Linked DNA regions of Drosophila melanogaster. The protein of the gene in region 1 interacts with the protein of each later gene in a pairwise test. Each region holds a gene or a part of one and is shown on either strand. Other genes may lie near its edges.

What was found. The genes of interacting proteins can lie anywhere in the genome.
Region 2: the proteins of serp (region 1) and CG12992 interact in a two-hybrid assay, tested with the Drosophila melanogaster proteins (one large-scale study listed by BioGRID).

Annotation. Positions count from the first base shown.
Region 1 is NT_037436.4:19,700,603-19,710,991, forward strand, and holds serp (serpentine), read right to left. Parts: upstream 7,414-10,389; 5' UTR 6,873-7,413; coding exon 6,818-6,872; intron 5,796-6,817; coding exon 5,623-5,795; intron 5,457-5,622; coding exon 5,207-5,456; intron 1,897-5,206; coding exon 749-1,896; 3' UTR 375-748; downstream 1-374.
Region 2 is NC_004354.4:17,585,949-17,593,619, reverse strand, and holds CG12992 (uncharacterized protein), read right to left. Parts: upstream 4,756-7,671; 5' UTR 4,690-4,755; intron 4,633-4,689; 5' UTR 4,525-4,632; intron 3,663-4,524; exon of another isoform or gene 3,606-3,662; 5' UTR 3,419-3,605; coding exon 3,152-3,418; intron 3,104-3,151; coding exon 2,072-3,103; 3' UTR 1,914-2,071; downstream 1-1,913.

The sequences.
Region 1 (10,389 bases):
GACACTTTGGTGCCCATCGGCGTTTTGGGGTGTCCAAAACCTGTCTCGGCATAGGCGAAATTTGCATATGAAATGCACATAGGAGGGGATTCTCCAACTGAAACCGAAACTGAGCCCCACCGAAACGCGTTATTGTTATTCAAATTCGTTAATTCCGAAGAAACTGGTTAGTAAGTCAGTGGGTAGATGGCATACTAAATGGGCCGGGGCTGTCAATGTTTTACTCCTCTCTTGGCTTCTTAGAAATCATATTTCTGTTGCTAGCTGGTAACTAAATACTTAATGTTATTTTGACTGGTTGAAACAAACGACAGGCGGCATTAAAAATTCAGTATTTGGTTTTTCTTGATTTTTTGTGGTTTTTTCGTTTATTTCATTTTTTTTCTTTTATTTAAATATACACATACAAATTAACGTAAAACTACAAAAAAGAGTGTAAACACAAGTTCGGATGTTGTGGCTTGCAGTTTTGAATATCTTTTGTTTTGTCTTCATGTCGAATTTCATTTCATTTTTGATTTAACATAACCGTAACACAGCAAAGACTTGATCCTCGAAATCAGTCAAATAGAGAGTACGAGTGCACTCGTAAAAGTCTTGCAATTCAAATTCAAATGGGCGATAATCGATCGAGTTTGTGTTGGGCTAGGGCTTAGGGTTTGGTGTGTGATAGGTATGGGTTAAGTTTGGGTTAGAGTTTGGGTTAGAGCTCGGGGCTCAAGGGGGGCATGGGGCTAAGATCGCTGACTTAGAAGAAACCATCGCCAGTGGGATCGCTGACCCATGGGTAGTTGTTGGGGCATCGGACGCAGGTCTGCAGGTTGATGGTCTCCCCGGGAACCTCCTTGGAGGTCAGCTTGCAGGTGTTGGGCACCCAGCAGGCGGGCTTGCCCTCGACCACGCACTTCTCCCTCCAGGGCTCAAAGTTCTTGACCTCGCTGATGGTGCGTGGATTCTGCATCCACTGGATCACCTGGGTCATGGTCACGAAGTACACGTCGTTGTGGTTGGCCAGGATCTCGTCGATCCAGTAGAGGAAGGCGTCGAGGAACTCGGGATTGTTCTTCAGCCAGGCGGCGTGGAAGTACAGACCCAGGGGAGCGCGGTTCTGGTCGTAGTGACGGTCGAAGTTGTGGTTCAGGAAGTTGTAGAACTGGTCACCGGTCAGGATGTTCGAGCAGGAGTCCACCATGGCGCAGCCGGGCAGGTACTCATCGTTGACGGGATCCTCGCGACGGTCCAGCTCGTTCATCACCATCTCCCACACGGCGTGGGATCGGGTGGGGCAGCTCTGCAGGTTGCCGTGGCAGCGGTGGGGCATCCGGAAGTACATGGTGTAGGGCCATAGTGGCGGGTTCGACAGCGGAGCGGTGATGGTGGAGTCGTACAGGAAGGCCTGCTCCTCCATCATGGTGAACTGGTTGTTGCCGCCCACGCGCAGGTAGGGAGCACGCACGCCCACCACCGAGTTATCCGTAATGTTGGCGAACTTCTCCGTAATGATCCTCATGCCGGCCATCTCCTTGGCCCAGTCGTCCACGGTGGCGTTCGACCAGAAGCGCTCCTCGTCGTTGTGCGTGATCGAGTGCACTGCGATCTCGTGTCCTTTGCGTGCCGTCTCCTGCACCGCCGAGTAGTTGGTGTACTTGTGCGACACGAAGTAGGTGGCCTTGATGGAGCAGCCGTTGGGGTTCTTGCGATCCTTGAAGATCTCCTTGTACAGCTCGATGTTGTTGTTGTTGATGGCGTCGTCGAACGTGATGGTGATCATCATGGGCACATCCTTGGCGGGCAGGTCGCCGGGAATCGATGTACCATCCTCCGAGCAGAAGCAATCGGGCAGGACGCACACGGCGGGATCGCAGGGCGGGGCACGGTTGGGATCGTTGTCGATATCTGTGGGCGGGGCAAAATGGTACAAATTATGGGGTTAGGACGAGGAAATCATAAGGTACATTACGAAAGATTCCTCAAACTGAAGTGAATTGAAGGAGAAGTCTTGCATATAAATGGGGTGTGTAAAGCACATTCTTAAAATAAGTAAGCAAGAGATATATGTAGGGATATAACTAGAGATAATCGATACCCTGTAAAATACAAATTCATTACAATAAACAGCCTGTCATCTTTTCCCATCAAATAACCAATCAACAATTGATATTCTGCCTGCATTCACCTGGCCGGCAAAAGTTCACTTAACTTTTCATATAAATATTTAAGCAATTAGCCAACGGTGAGGGGATAAAGCTTGGCGGGCAGGGGGTACGGGGTTGGTTCAATGAACCGAAGTGGTCTGGAAAAGCAATCAAGAGAGGTGGGAAAACCGAAACGCAAAGTGAATGGAAAATGTCTGCACAATGCGAGTTTTTCATCGGCATATGTTTCTTTCATTATTATTATTATTGGGATTTTTCTTGGCTTTGTTTTGAGCAATTTTCAAGTGTTGTTAATCAAGCGAAGCCGCTTTGAAATGCAGATAGCGTTCGCTTATTAGCCACACCACACCCATCCCGAAAATATGGCGCTCGATTATCGGGCCAAATGCAAATGATGGTCCACTCAATTACCAATTGGTAAGCCTTGCACTTGCCGGCTCGTCAAACGGAATCAATTGCGAAAGTTTCCAAAGATATTAGCCGCAATTATTGTTGCCGCTGTCTCATTTGGCATTTGGAATTGGTATTGGTATTGGCCAAAGTGAAATGGCAGGCACGGCATGTAAAGGCCAAAGCATTTTGTCCATCAAGTTTTTCACTCGTTTTTTTTTTTGCGTGTTTTCCATTTTGCCGGCTTTGTCTCTTTGTTGACCTTTTTGCGCCGTGGCTCCGCTTTCATTCCCCTCCTTTCTGCCAATATTGGCCAATAATCTGTCGTTAAAGACGGCTGTTATGTCATCCCGGACCGGTTCAGCAGCATTCAGCATTCAGCATTCGGTATTCACTCGGTATTCACCAGATCCACCGGCATTATTGACTTTTTAGGGCTTTTGGCTTTTGCTCATTTTATTTATTTTTGCAGAGATTGCCGCGGAGATTGCCGAATGTATGTGAGCTGGCTCATTATTGCCGAAGAGGAGCTTGCCAAGATTGGGATGAATTGTGGCCGAGAAATAATTGTGGGGAATTTTGTTTTTGGCTAAATTCGGTGGGATCTTAACGTACTTCCGAGAATCGGTAATGTGTAGCTGAATCTATTCATTAATCAAAAGTGTTGATTGAATTCTTGGAACACTTCTTTTCGAATCGATTTGATATTAGTTTATCATTTTGCACAAGTCATTCTCATTTGTTGCCAATTCTCATATGCACTTTTAATCTGAAGTTAGCTAAAAACATGGGATTCTCTTGAAGAGAATACACATGTGGTGGAGTTATAGGCTTTATGGCTATTGCCCAAGTAAAACTACACTATTTGGCAACATTTTTTCGGAGCACTTTCCTCGTTACTTTGTCGCTCTTTTTAAAACTACGATGTATGACCAGTTAATCGCTCTTTTAATCGCCTGCCATTTGCTTCGCCTCCCGGAGACGTGAGCTTCCTCATTGGGCCCAAAGGCGAAGTGGTCTAAACTTGGACTGGAGTTATTCAATTGTTTGCGATCGCGGGCATGGCTTTCTGCTCGGCTGGGCATTTCAAAAGTCAGGCAGAAGTGCAAATTTTCGCATTTTATAGATAGATAGATAGATATATACATTACGGATCGCAATCGCAGGTGGTGAATCTAGCAGAAGCAGAAGCTAGTTAGCCAGATTTATTTGGCACTTAATTGGCTTGTTGAGGCAGCCTTTATATGCCAGGTTAGCCACTTGAGAAATGTCGTTCGTGCAAGAAGAACGAAGTGAGCGTAAACTTATGGCACTCACTGTTTGGGCATGTTATTAGTATTTTTATGAATTAGTTGCGATTTTGCGCGGTCTGCTGTATCAATCTTTGGTTACTTTTGTTATTATAGTGTATTATTATTTGGTGCTTATGACTGTGTGTTTATTTTTCGCCCGCTTTTGGCTCGGCTTTTGCGGCTTTCTGCAATTGCTAAAAATAACCGTGGCTCTTAAGCCGCTTATGTAAGGCTAATTTACACATGAATCGAAACCACCTATGGAGCGGCATTTTGTTTTGCTTCGATTTGATTTCTATTAAGTCCAAGGTTAGCGCTATTACGATGTTGCTAATTAATGATTTAATGTTTTCCATACATGACTGCCTTAATTCCCCCAACCCCCTCTGTTTTAGCCAGCTGGCCACCAGCCGTGTCTGACATTTCGTTTCCACTTCACACTTGACATTTCCACCCAAAGATCGCTGTCCATTCGAGATCGGAGCTGATCCCGTCGAGCTGAGTGCGGCGGTTCAGCTGGCTCCGAGATACGATGGAGCTAAAGGGCTTTGCGAAACCGGTTCGTGGGATCTGTGCTGCAGACGGGGTTCCATTGCATGTGGCCGTCATTGGAATCCCCAAACCCCTTCCAAATTCCAAAAACCGAAAGAAACACGAAATTCAGACACTTGTGTGCCGTTGTGTCAGTGCTTTCGAGAGTGGAGTTTGAAGTGTTCCTCCTTCGCTGAGGTAATGCCTAAATGCCGTCAACCGGTTTTAAGGTGCGACTGGAGTAACTAAAGAAATTTCGACCAGAGAAAGATATTGGATTCGGATTCGGATTTGGATGTATCAAGAAAGGAAACATAAGATCAATTATTTATGCTATTGGCATATTATCTGACAAAGTGTGCACCCATATCACGAGCCACTTGAAGGCTTACATATATCATTTGAGCCGATGGAGTAATAGCACTCAACCTCGGGCTTTTGGGAAAGCCAATCCTATAAACAACACTTGGCGGCGGCTTACTTCTATTGACGCCCTCCTCAATTTCTGCTGAATCACACTGAATTATTGTTGTCAAATGTCAAACTTAAATGAAAAAGTGCTCACAAAAAAAAAGTGGAGCGAGCCCGCATTATCCCCAATATTGAGGCAATTATTTTTGGTAATTCCATTTTATTGGTCCTTGGCCATAGTTGGCCTAATGTCTAATTATTGCAATTTAAGTTTTTGGATTTTTTTATAAATCATGCATAAAATGGCTAATGCATACTAATTACACTTTTTATTACTTCTGTTAAGTGCTTCGACTAAGGTGTGCCAAAAGCTATTAAAAACCTAAGGCAATCCTTAAAAACAAAATATTTATTCAAAGTACTCACCACAGGTGTTCTCATCGGATCCATCCGAGCAATCCTTCTCGCCGTTGCAGAAGAGTCCGCGCTCAATGCAGTTTCCATCGCCGCAGGCGAGGAATCCGTCCTGGCACAGGGGCTCATCCGTATGGAGCAGGGGCTTCACGCGGCGCTCCTTGTTCTTGGACTTGCAGTTCTTCACCGACTCCTTCCAGTCGCAAGTCTGCTTCTCGATATCGAAGTACAGACCAGCAGGGCAACGGATGGCTTGCAGGCCCTGTTTAAAAATAAATAAATACAAAGTAATAATATTAAGTATATTTTATGAAGATATATTGTATTGATAGACATGGTAATCCCTCATGAAAAGTGATGTTAATAAGCTTTCATTCCATGTATCTACAATTATATTTACAAACAACTATAGATAGTTTGTAACTTACCGATGAGGTACATTGGATGACGTCGCGGCAATTGTCGCCCTCGCCGGCCACCAGGCGGAACCACTCGCCGGCGTCCTTGTCCTTGCACAGCTCCTTCTCGAAGGACTCCTCCTTCTTGGTCTCCTCGGTGGTGGCCTGTCGCTTGTATCGCAGGAGCGGATCGCTGGCACTGGCTGCAAGTCGAAACGAGGGAAATGGAAATATAAATGGATGCAATTGCAGTTGGAGTTGCAAAACCGGAAGAATTTCCACGGCGAATGTGGGTTGGGTGTGGATTGAGTTGGCTTGGATTGGGTTGGGTTGGTTCCATGTCGCCATGGCCTGGCACTTCCTGTTACAAAAACACAGATACAGCTACAGCTGCAGAGATACAGATACGAGTGGATTTGGCCGGGCTAAATAGACATGGCATGCGGTCGGGCTGGTTGGTTGCTTGGTGTGTTGGCCGAAAAAAAAAAACACGTTTGGCATTATGAAATACGATGTCACCAGAGAACCGAGCGCAGAAACACAAATAAATGTCGGTGCAAAAATAAAAACCGAAATCTGAAAAGCGAATTTAGAAACTCGCTGCTGCGCCTGCGCTCTAACTTTGACATTTTGCATCTCGCGACGCTTGGCAACAGCCGACTTGTCGCGCATTTTTCAAATCGCAATCGGATTCGGATTTGAATCTCAGTTTAAATTTGAATTTTTTGAAGTCGAGGGAGTTGCCGCATTTGCATAACCGTTAATTGACGGACAGCAACACGGCGATGTTTATGCTGCGACTCTAATCATGATCGATGGCCTGTCAAAGTCAAGTGGTCTCGGATTGAGATTCGTATTGAGTTTCAGAGAACTGCATTCACAGAGCTCAAGTGTCAAGCTGAATGGGTTTCTACGCGACTCAAGGTAAACAATCGTTTGTCCCTTCGGAAAACGAAAGTTGTTTACCAACTAGTCACAGCCGGACGAGTCCTTTTCGCATAATCAAGGTTACGACACGCCACGCCACTCCACTCACATCTGCATCTCGAAAACGGCTTTTCAATTGCCAGCCTTCTTGTTTCCGTTTCTCTGTGAAGGCCGTCGAGCAGTTTTAATTGATGTCTTGGCAACAACTTCCGCCAGCCAAATGCAAATTGCAGTTCGATAATTAAAACTTATGACTACGGCGAGGCATAAAATATGTGCGTTTCATTGGAGACCTTACCTTCGTTAAAGGCCGCCAGAGCCAAAACGGCAAAAACCACAAACAGTTTTGCCATCTTTAGGTGGACCTGTTGGGATTGGATCGATCGCTGGTATTAGCTGCACACTTTTTTAGAGTCTTATATCGATGTTTCTTTTTTCCTGGCAAACACACTTTGGGTAAAAAAACACTTCTTGGAGCTCTAGTCTTGTCCTTCCGATCGCTATCAAAGCTCCATTTACACTGTTTGCTACGATGCCGCGCACAATTTCTCGAACCCCTCTCTGACACCAAAGCCCCAGACGAAGTCAAAATTGCTTCTTTTATTACACGGCGGCGGCGGCGACGTCTCTTTCGAGCACCTGTGGTGGGTTTTGGAAAGCTCTGCTGGGGTAGTGCCCAATGCGATCCACAAAAGCTTTGAGCCACTGATTGCCGATCGCCGATCGCTGATCACTGGCAAGCCCGGCTTTTTGGCTGTTTGGCTTTCTGCTTTTCTGCCTTTCTGGCTTTCTGGCCAATTGGCTTTTGGGCCGGAATAGCTCTGTGAGTGTTCGTGTTGCACAAGTCTGGGTCCGATCGTGACCGGATCGTGGTTGAAAAGACGAGAGAAGTGCGGCACGTACGCGATCACTCTTTTATATGCAAAATGGTGGCGGCTATCGACTTCGAACTGCGGTGAGGTGAGAAGTGTAGCCGCCGTGCTTGTGGACTGCAAGTGTGCGAAGTTTGGAGTGCCTGGCAAATGGCACCTATGCACTGGCCGTAATGGCGGATTCCAGAACGTCTGCGGTGTCTCTCGATTGGCAACGAACTCTAGGGACTAGCCCTCGCCATTTTGGGCAGGGTGTCGGATGTGTGTCAGGCCAAACGATCCACTTGGGCGTGCCCAAACAGCTAAACACACACACACACACTTGCCAAAAATGCATTTTTTATCATCCCACATACACGTATCCACGTACTTTTGTTTTGGTATCTTCCAAACTTCGGGTATTTAAATTCACTAGGGTAACTAGTTAAATAATAGTCCACAGTGCGTATGATTGATACGAATTTGTATACTTGTACGTTGTGTCAAATCTTTTCTACTTGGCTCAAGATGAGTAAAGTGCAAATTTCTTTTTTTTTTTTTTTTTTTTTAATTTTTATTATTTATTGAATCTTCCCTTTGTGTTAAGAGACTAACAATAAGTGTTCAAATCTTAATCTAACTTAATTAACTTTCACTTAGTGATAGTTTTTTTTTTTCATTAATGCCCTAATAAGTTTATTGCTGGGCTGGGAGGTCGTTGCGGTGCAGCCGGCTTTGACTGCATACTCGGATTAGTTTTCTTGCGAGGGGATTTGTATGGGTGGTCAGCTTTTCGTTATACTTCGTTTTTTTCTCAGCTATTACTTCGATTACTAATTTGATTTTTAGGTCTCTGTGTATGTTTTCGTTCCGAAGGTACCACGGCGCTCCAGTGATAATTCTCAGAATTCTTGACTGTGCTCGCTGAATAATGTCTATGTTACTTCTGGATGCGTTGCCCCACAGCTCGGAGCCGTAAGTCCAGATAGGTTTTAAGACGGAGTTGTATAGAAGAGCTTTGAACTCCAGACTAAGTGGAGAGCGAGCATTTATGAGCCAGTGGAGGTTCCTTGCTTTAAGTTTAAGATGTTTCGATTTGGCTTCTATATGTTTGCGCCAAGTGAGCCGCCTGTCCAGATGAACTCCCAGATATGTTACCTCGTCGGCTTGTGGAATGCATATGTTATTCAAGACCAGTGGTGGGCATGTTTGTTTGTTTAAGGTAAAGGTAACCTGCTTGCATTTTTGAACATTTATTGAAATTCTCCAGTCGGCAAGCCATCGTTCTACAGATGTTAAGTGTCGGGATAGGAGTGCCGTGGCTTTTATTGGGCATTTCGAGCGACTGAGTATCGCGGTATCATCAGCGAACGTGGAGGTTGTTAGATTGTAGTCTATGGGGAAATCCGCCGTATACAGGGTGTATAAGATTGGACCCAGTACACTGCCTTGCGGCACTCCAGCTTCGATTGCGCAATCGCGTGAAGTGCTTGTATCGCATCTTATTGCAAACACTCTGTTATATAGGTATGACTTCAGTAGCTTATGTGTGTTTTGGGGCAACAGCTTGATTATTTTAAACAAAAGTCCATCGAGCCACACTCTGTCAAATGCCTGCGCGACGTCTAGAAAAATGGCTGTGCAGTATTCTCGATGTTCAAAAGCAGTACGAATTTCTGACGTGATTCGGTTGACCTGTTCGATGGTTCCATGTTTTTCTCTAAAGCCAAATTGATGTGTTGGAAGTGTGTTGTTTATTCTAAGATGAGGGCTAATCCGAAGGAGTAGCATTTTTTCAAACAGCTTTGAAAGACATGTTAGTAAGCTTATCGGTCTATATGATGATGGCTGCGTTTTATCTTTTCCTGGCTTTGGAATCATTACTATGGTCGACTTTTTCCATTTTTGAGGGAAGTATCCAAGCTTGGCGATTGCGTTGAACAACAGGCAGATGTGAAGAATAGCACACTTTGGGAGTTCAATGAGCATTCTTGGAGTTATTAGGTCGTAGCCAGGCGATTTTCTTGGGTTCAGTTGCTCTTTGATAACCTTTGCTAGTTCACATGGTCGGAATTCAAAGGGTTCTTGAGGATCTAGATTGGCTGCTATTAAAGGAGGGAGAATAAATGTGTTGGTAGAGGGGTTTGGTCGGAATACATTTTGTAAATGGTCAGCGAAAGCACTGGCTCTTTCTTCATCACTTCGAAACCAGGTGCCAGAGGGACTTCGTAGTGGCATAATTGGCGCTATTGGAGTCTTTAGGTTTCTGTGAGCTCTCCAAAGAGGGTACTTAGTGCTGGTGGGAGAGAGTTGCTCGATATATGAACGTTGGCTGTTTTTTTCCTCTTGTTTGAGAGCATTGGTAAGCCTGCGTGTGGCTATCTTAAGCATGTGCTTAGTAATTGGTGATCTATTAGACTGCCAATCCCTTCGTAGGCGTCGTTTATCTAAAACCAGCCGCTCGATTTCGCGATTAGTTTTGATGTAGTTTGGTTTTGCATACGTCACTGGCGGGGTTGAAGCCTTTGCAGCCGAAACTAAAATGTTTTCAAGAGTTTCCGTTGACTTGTCTATATCCTCCTTTGTAGATAATGCCGTCGTTAGTTCTATGTGTGAACAGACATACTTCTGATACCTTGGCCAGTTTGTTCTAAAATTTGTGAGTCTATACGGTGGGTCGACGATGTGGGGGCGAGTTAGCATATTTAGAAAAACAGGTGAGTGATCTGATGATAAATCTGCTAGTGCTTCGGCGGTGACCATGTTGCGGGGGACATGTTTAGTAATTGCAAAATCGATCAGGTCTGGGATTTTTCTTGGGTCTGCTGGCCAGTATGTAGGCTTACCCGGGGATACATAGTCTAGCTTGTTTTCTGGCTTCGTAAGCGCATTGTACAATTGCTTACCCTTTGGCGACACAAGTCGTGATCCCCAATGGGTGTGCTTGGCGTTATAGTCACCCGCTGCGATGAACCTGTCACCTAGTGTGTTAAAGAATTCCATGAATTGATCCTCAGAG
Region 2 (7,671 bases), on another chromosome or scaffold:
CTGTGGGCTTTCTTTGTCTGCGAAACAGTCTACCCACTTATCTAAAAAATAACTTAATTTTTTGTATGCAAATCGAAAGTGAAGTCTCCCTCACTTTGCAGAACAAAGTGAAATTTCATTTCCATGCCCCCAGCATACGACAAACCAAATGCCTATAGATTGGAGTAACCAGAAAGTAACGTGCGTGTCGCAACTGCAAAACAATGGACAACTAGCCCCTAGTCTTTAGTTGTCGCATGTATTTATACAACTACCATTGAGTTATTACAAATTAATATATATATATACATATATATATATTAAGCAAGCAAGAAGATGAGACACCGAGACAAGCTACTCCAAAGCCTGAAGCCATATCCATCTTGGCTATCTTTCCGCAAAGAAGCCATCGGCAACATAAACAACACAACATTCTACGTCTCAACGATCAGCGACTTACTCATTAAACATGCTCCTAAAGTCAAAAATCTAGCCAAAGAGGCAACAACCGTGCCCTTGATAATTATCCCAAACTTCAACCGCACTGATATAAACAGATACTTAAAGGCAAACATTATCAATGACAAAATCAATTACATAAGAAGTGCACCTCCTTGGGTACGTTATGGTACCGATTATAACTAGACTATGTCTAGGACACACCAGACCGACTCATGAGCACCGATTCTTCCAATCTGCAATATTGACAACATGACAATTCCCCACATCCTAGACGATTGCATCGCCCTCCAATCACATAGATCAAGCAACTCGCATTCGAAACTTACAGACAACTTAGAAAACACCCACACCTGAAAATCTCGAACATTTACTTAAATTTCTGAACAAAGACAACATAATGAATCTTCTGTAAACAAATAGCACATCTTTGTAATTCCCAATCAATGTGAATCAATGAATATAATATATGTATAAAATACTTAAATAAATACTTATAAATAATTGTAACCTAATACTTAAGTAGATGTTAAAAAAGTCCGACTATAGCCAGTAGATATAACTATTGTAGCATAAGTTTAAAACTTTTGTCTACGATGTACAAATAAATAAATAAAGCAAATATTCCACATATGCTAACTATTGTACAATATTACATATTATCCTCCAAGTAACGTAAATGTTTGGCACAAAAGATCCTTTTGTTCAAATCAGATATAGTTTTCTCCATGTTCAAGATTGCGCAACAAATTTAAACGATTACAGAGTAATTACAAAGATATGTAAATAAATACCCCTTTACAATTTAATTACCCTATTGCATTTACATTAATGGTTTTGATATCCAACTACTTGAATAATTTACCGCGTTCAATGACCAACACGCTTTCTATAATATATAATTTGACATGTATTAGCTTGTATATAAAGCCATATAAATAAATTCGATCACATTAAGTATATCAATCAATCGTAAGTTTCTTCAATTGCTTTTTCGCAGGTGTTATCAATATCTTTGATTAGATAATGAGCTTAAGCCCAAATTCTAATCATAATGGCAGGAAAATTTCACATTTTATAAGGCAAGATTCATCTTATTTGATTTCTTATTTTACTTGGCCAAAAAAGAAAAAAGAAAAAAATTTCTTTTGTTGGCATTGGTTTGGTAATAGTAGAAAACCAAACAACTGACCACCAAACAATCGACGCTGACTAGTTGATTTTTTCCTTTATTTCAATTGTTGGTAAGCTGCTCGATTTTTTCATTAATTTCTTTTTTCGCATGTTTTTCACTTTCTTCCGCCGAGTTGAAAGTGAAATTTGATGGCATTTCTTTATACATCATCATCATTACACATTTTACTTAAATTCTAATTGAGGTAGTTGAGATGCATACATTTTTTGTTTATCTTCGGATTGCATCATTACAAAAGATGGTTAAGTGTAATTGGCTTACAAATATATGGAAAATATTTGTAACATTACAAATGTTTATTAATACATAGATGCAAAATAAATGATTAGGATTACGGAATTGGTCTGTGTATTACATTAGCAATTTTTTTCGAATGGTGTTGAATGATGAATAGATTTTTAAATGCTACACTATTCCGATTTCCCTCCGGATTCTATTTTACATCTTGTTGCCGTGGTTTGAATTACGAGAGCAGCTGGCATTGGCGTCCTGTGGCTCACCGAACATAAAATGCGAAACATATTCCGGAATATATACCGGCCAGCAAGGATGCTGCTGCGCTTCGGCCTGATAAGTTTCGCTAATCAATGGCGGTTGATTTAAATTTGAACCATTAGCCGTCGGCATTTGGTTATACTTTGGCATGAAGCCTGACTGCTGGGACATCGGAAAACCAGTCGGAGGATAGCCGTAAGCGGATGTCGATTGAGCGTTGTAATAGGAATTGGAACCATAGCCGAAACCTTGCGCCGATTGGTAGTTATCAAATTGGATATTCGGGCGATTTGAAGATGAAATCGAATCATTGCCCGGATAATTTTCGCGCAGATTGCGGATTACGGTCATGAAGGCCTCCTCCAATGGATAATCCTTCCGGCGAGAATTCGTTCCACCCGCAATCGATTGAGGATGGCCCGACCTATCGGCACCCAAGGCAGAGCCTCTCGGCGAAGAGTTGAGACCCGGCTGGGATTTCGTCCTCGAGGGCTCAGCTTTCTTGGAGCCATTGGCAGCGGCAATGTTTTCGCTGGCCTCCGGTGGATGAAACTCCGGATATGAGAAGAAATCCCGGGCAATCTTCTTCAGATTCTGCATGCTGAATGGGTCAGCTGAAGAATCGCTAGTTCCGAAAAACCCCTGGCTTTTAACCGATTGACTGGGCCAAGTGAACGTGGCGGATGATGAGCTGGTATCCGGACATTTCTGCTTTTCGCCCGAAACATTGCCATGATGACAACACGATCCAATTTGATTGACAGATGAGCCCTCCTTGGGTGGAGGAGCATTCACTGCGGTGGGCCCGTCTTGCTTATTGGCCACAACGCTTGAATACAACTGCTTGGGACGGCTCTTGTCCTCGTGCTGATTGGGCTTCTCCTGCTTGGATGCTTCATTGCCATTTTGTTGCATCTTCGACGATGGATTCCTTCGATTGCGTTGCATCTGCTTAGATTGATTATGCTGAAAGTACTATTTTATGCGATAAGCCCGCTTTTTGCACTATACTTATTGCTTCACCTGTTTCACAGTGTCCTCCGGCACCACGTGGTTCAGCCCCTGCATTGGCACCTTTCCAGCTCGCTCGGAATTTGGGCGAGCCGCATTTTTGCCCTGTTTCTTGCTATAAGCAGGATTCGGTGGAATGATGGACTGCCTCATCGACGGCTGCTGTATAATTTTTGGGGGTTCCAAAATACACGCGGCCTTTGCTATGTTCTGATTTTGTGATTTGATCAAACGTTTGAGTTGCGCCTGTGACATTCTGGGAAATTTTTTGTGTGGCATTTTGATTGGAATTTTAGTTTTTTTTTTTTCAAACGTTAGTACGTGTAATCCGGAGGTATACGAAACTGAATAGAGCTCAGGCAATTCCAAATGACATTCGAGTTGACAGAAGGCACTGCTTACTTGAAATTTGTTGGCGATTCTTTTTCTAGAACATGAGGTTAGGTTTCCCACTTTCGGCCAATCACTGCTAAGTTCATCAGCAAATTAAACAATACTGGATTTATCTAAACTTATTTAAACACTAAAATGAATTATGCAATACTAGATAAATATGTAGTTATTGGAACATTATACAGCACTGGATGTATCTAAACTTATTCTAACAAAATCTAAACCTAATTATACAATGCTAGATAAACAAGATAAGATGAACATAAACATATGCACACACACACACACACACACAGTACATGAAAAGCTTATTCAACACTGGATATAAATCAAAACAAAAACAAACTTAACTTAATTTGGATTCAAAACACTGAATCAAATGGTGGATTATTTTAGACCAAACCATTGTTGAGTCTTAATAATATTATTAATTTATGATACAAGTTATGTACTCTTACAAATACATTTCTCTTATTTAAAACATCATTTGCTAGACTAGAAAACAACCTTTGTATGTATGTAAGAGTATGTATTTATCTATTTATTTATGTATGTAACCTTATAGGCACATCATTTGAACCTTCTGATTTCCACATCATCTTTAGTTATTGATGTTATCGCCCGATCTATGTGTGAATATCATATCATCGTTTTACGCAACTTCCACCCTATATTTATTGTACACCCCCCGCCAAAAAAGAAAAAAATCCCCATAGCAACAATGGCGAATGCCAAGATGCGATTTCCCTGGGCCCCAAAAGACCCAAGTTGCGTTTTCAGTTCGCTCCGCATTTCGTCTTTTGGTTTTTGCTATTGTTTTGATGGAAGCTGCAATTGCAGTTGCAACTGCTGACTGGCAACCGGATATGGTCACGAAAATCTGAAATCTCATATCCATATGCGAGTGACGCTCTGCATATGATTTGCAGATGTTGATGTTGCTTGTTTTCCCTTTTCCCAATTTCCCTTATTTTCCTTGCGTTACTACTTACAGTTTTAGTTGTTCCTACTTTGATTTCCTCAGTGTGTGGCTTGAGTTTTCCTTAGTATTCCGCCCTAGTGAATATTTAATTTGTTTCCTTCTTGCACTTCAGATGCAACTGCAAGTAAATCAAGTAATAAAATTAAACATTTTATAAGAAAGAAATGTATATTACTTTAAGGCCCGTGCCAAGGAATATGTATATACTACTTTTCTAACAACTTGTCATAATTTGATGTAAATTTCCAAGCTACTTAAGTTGATCAGTTGAGTGGCACAATACTGACTTGAAGGACAATATCTAGATTACTCGGATCTCAAGATTTCTGCTCTGTTTTGGATGCCCGCTGACGTGGACACACTCAGATGCGCTCCAGTGCCGATCCGGCTGGGTAAGCTCACCGATCTTAGCCAGATATCGACCCCCAGCCCACTCCCTTTTGTATCCCTTGAACTGTGGTGTAATTCGACTCAGTTTTTGTTTTCCGCTTCTGGCTGCGTTTTTGGCCAATCAAAGCAAGACTTGCCTTGGCTTTTGGCTTATTAATTATAATTAATAATTGCTACCCACTGGGCTGAGTCAGAGATTATGTTTACGTTTTGGTATCACCCTATAAGTTTGCGATGCTTATGCAATGCGCTGCAATTAATTGCGATAAGAACGTGCTCGAGTGTAACGTGAACCACTGCTATGGGTTGGGTTCAGAACCCCTGCAAATGACGTACATAGTTACTACAGCAGGGGGCAAATTACTAGCAGACATATTACCTTATTTGACTAAATAACACTTTGAACTTTGAATATCATAAGCGCGTTCACATTAGAGGTTTAATATAATGCAAATGCTGAGTTGTCCATTGAATTGATTAGTTGTTATTAAATCCGATTTATAGTCACAGTATTTGTAAGAATAATACTTTATAAGCCATGTACACTTTTGCCCATTATTGTGCACATTTTTCTGAAGGGCGCACCCATATGACGCGTTTGTGTTTCTTTGGTTCTGGGCTGAGAAAGTGACAAAACACAAAACAAATTTCGTTGACCATGTTTGGAGTGGCGCTGCTTCTTATTCTGTTTTGGTTTCGGCTTCTAGGTTTGTTTTCCGTTTCCATTTCTGTTTTCGTCTCGTTTTCCATTTCCATGCGACGTGGTCGGAATGACCAAGTGGTGCTCCACTATTGGGGACAGCGGTTTGTTGTTGTAGTTGTGGGTGCTCGATTAGCTGACACCGATTCTCGATGGTTGATAAGGCTAGTTCAGTTGGCCGTCCGCAAGACTGGGCCAAGTCGATTTTAATCGCATTGATTTCGTTTAAGTGCAAGCAAAACTATTTACCCCAACTCCCTCAAGGGGGTTTGGTTTGACCTCAAAACGGGCGGTTTGACCAGCAAATACTAACCTCTTTCCTTTGCTATCTTGCCTTTATTAATTCATTTTGGGTACTAGTTTGATCGCTTACTAAAACCCCTACTGAATAAACTATAACTGACCTTATTCACTGTCCGATATGATACCACCATCTATTATTTACCATTTGTTGGCTTTTATTACTTACTGGCCAAGCCAAAGCCAAGTTATTCTGGTTACTAGCCAATAAGCATTAAAATACAGCGTTTTGTTTGGCGAAATCAATTAGTAAATTAAACAAATGAAGACATTAATGCTATTAAAGAGTGTTAATCATTCAATGTGGTTCATATGGCTGCCTTTCTCTTCACTTCTTTTATTTTTTCCACGTTTTTGCTTCAATATTTAGCAGTTTGTCATCTCTTGAATGATGATGATGGTCAAAATATTGCTACCATCGTTCGTTCAACTCGTTGCCGATTTGCAAATCTGGCTAAGAGCTGGCACGCCACATCCGAACATGCATATATGTATGTATGTATGTAAATATACAATTTATTTTAACCATAATGATATGGCCAATTCCGATGTTTCACATGCGTCTGGCTTCAAGCTAACTATGTGCAAATGATCGGGCGCACAAAGGCGAAGAAACTATTTGCCAAATTTTTAATAACCATAATTAAGTGCTTAGAGACGGCCAGGAAATTGCATAATTGTGGTTTCTGGCGGCTCCCCAAACCCTCTTCTTCACCAAATCATCTCCATTATGCAAATGCCTGTGTCTCGCCGCGTTCTATTCGCGAATAAATCACGTATACGGCACGTAAAAAAGTGGCGAACAAAAAACTTTGACGTCAGCCGACCCGGCCCCTTATAATCACCCACCTCGCCCACCTTACCCAGAATTTACCCATTTCATATTGCGTCCTTTTCAGCGGTGTTTTGATATCAAGTCTATCACTTGAATCTGGAAAAAAGCACGTAACTGTCTCAAAATCTTGAAACATGCATGCTTATAAATTTTTTATGAAAATAATAATCTTGCAATATAAAGCACACAAACAGATATGGGTTCTGTTTGAAAATTAATTAATTTTAAATTGTTTTAAGGTCAAAGCATTTCAAGCCATGACGAAAAAATATGAAAAACCAAATCATTTAGGTAGTAAGAACACACTAGAACCATTAACATGTTTATCATAAAAACTAAATGCATAAATTAACATATAATTCTGGTCTATAAGTTTTGCTTTGTTTGTATCTTTCTCAACTGACATCTGTTCTCATTCTAGGCTTAATTATTTTTTCCGGTGCTGAGGTTCTCAAGGTGACTATGTGTCCGCTGGGAAAACTTTCATTTCGACTAATGTTAATGAATTTCGGGGACTGCAAGAGGTCTTGGCATTGAAATCTGGTTATTGATGATTGCACGCGAGCCTCACATGTCTATAGATATAACCATAGACACCTATCTATATATACAAACATATATCTAACGAATAATACATATAACGAAACCGAGCCAAAGCGATCCGAAAGCATCCACATGTCTGCCATTCAAATGGGCACGGGGAAAACCTTTCCACTCGCTAAAGTTTCAGACAATAGCTATATATGTTATGTACCCCCGATTTCCCGCAGTGCAGCCCACTTTTACTTTCGGCTAATTGCACTACTTGGCCAGCAGGCGGCGCCACTTTCCCAAAACGGTAGCATGCTCAAAATTAACAACAATATAATATGGATCTCTTAAAAAGCCATTTCCTTTTGTATGTGAAAAATGTAACAGACTTAAGGGCGATG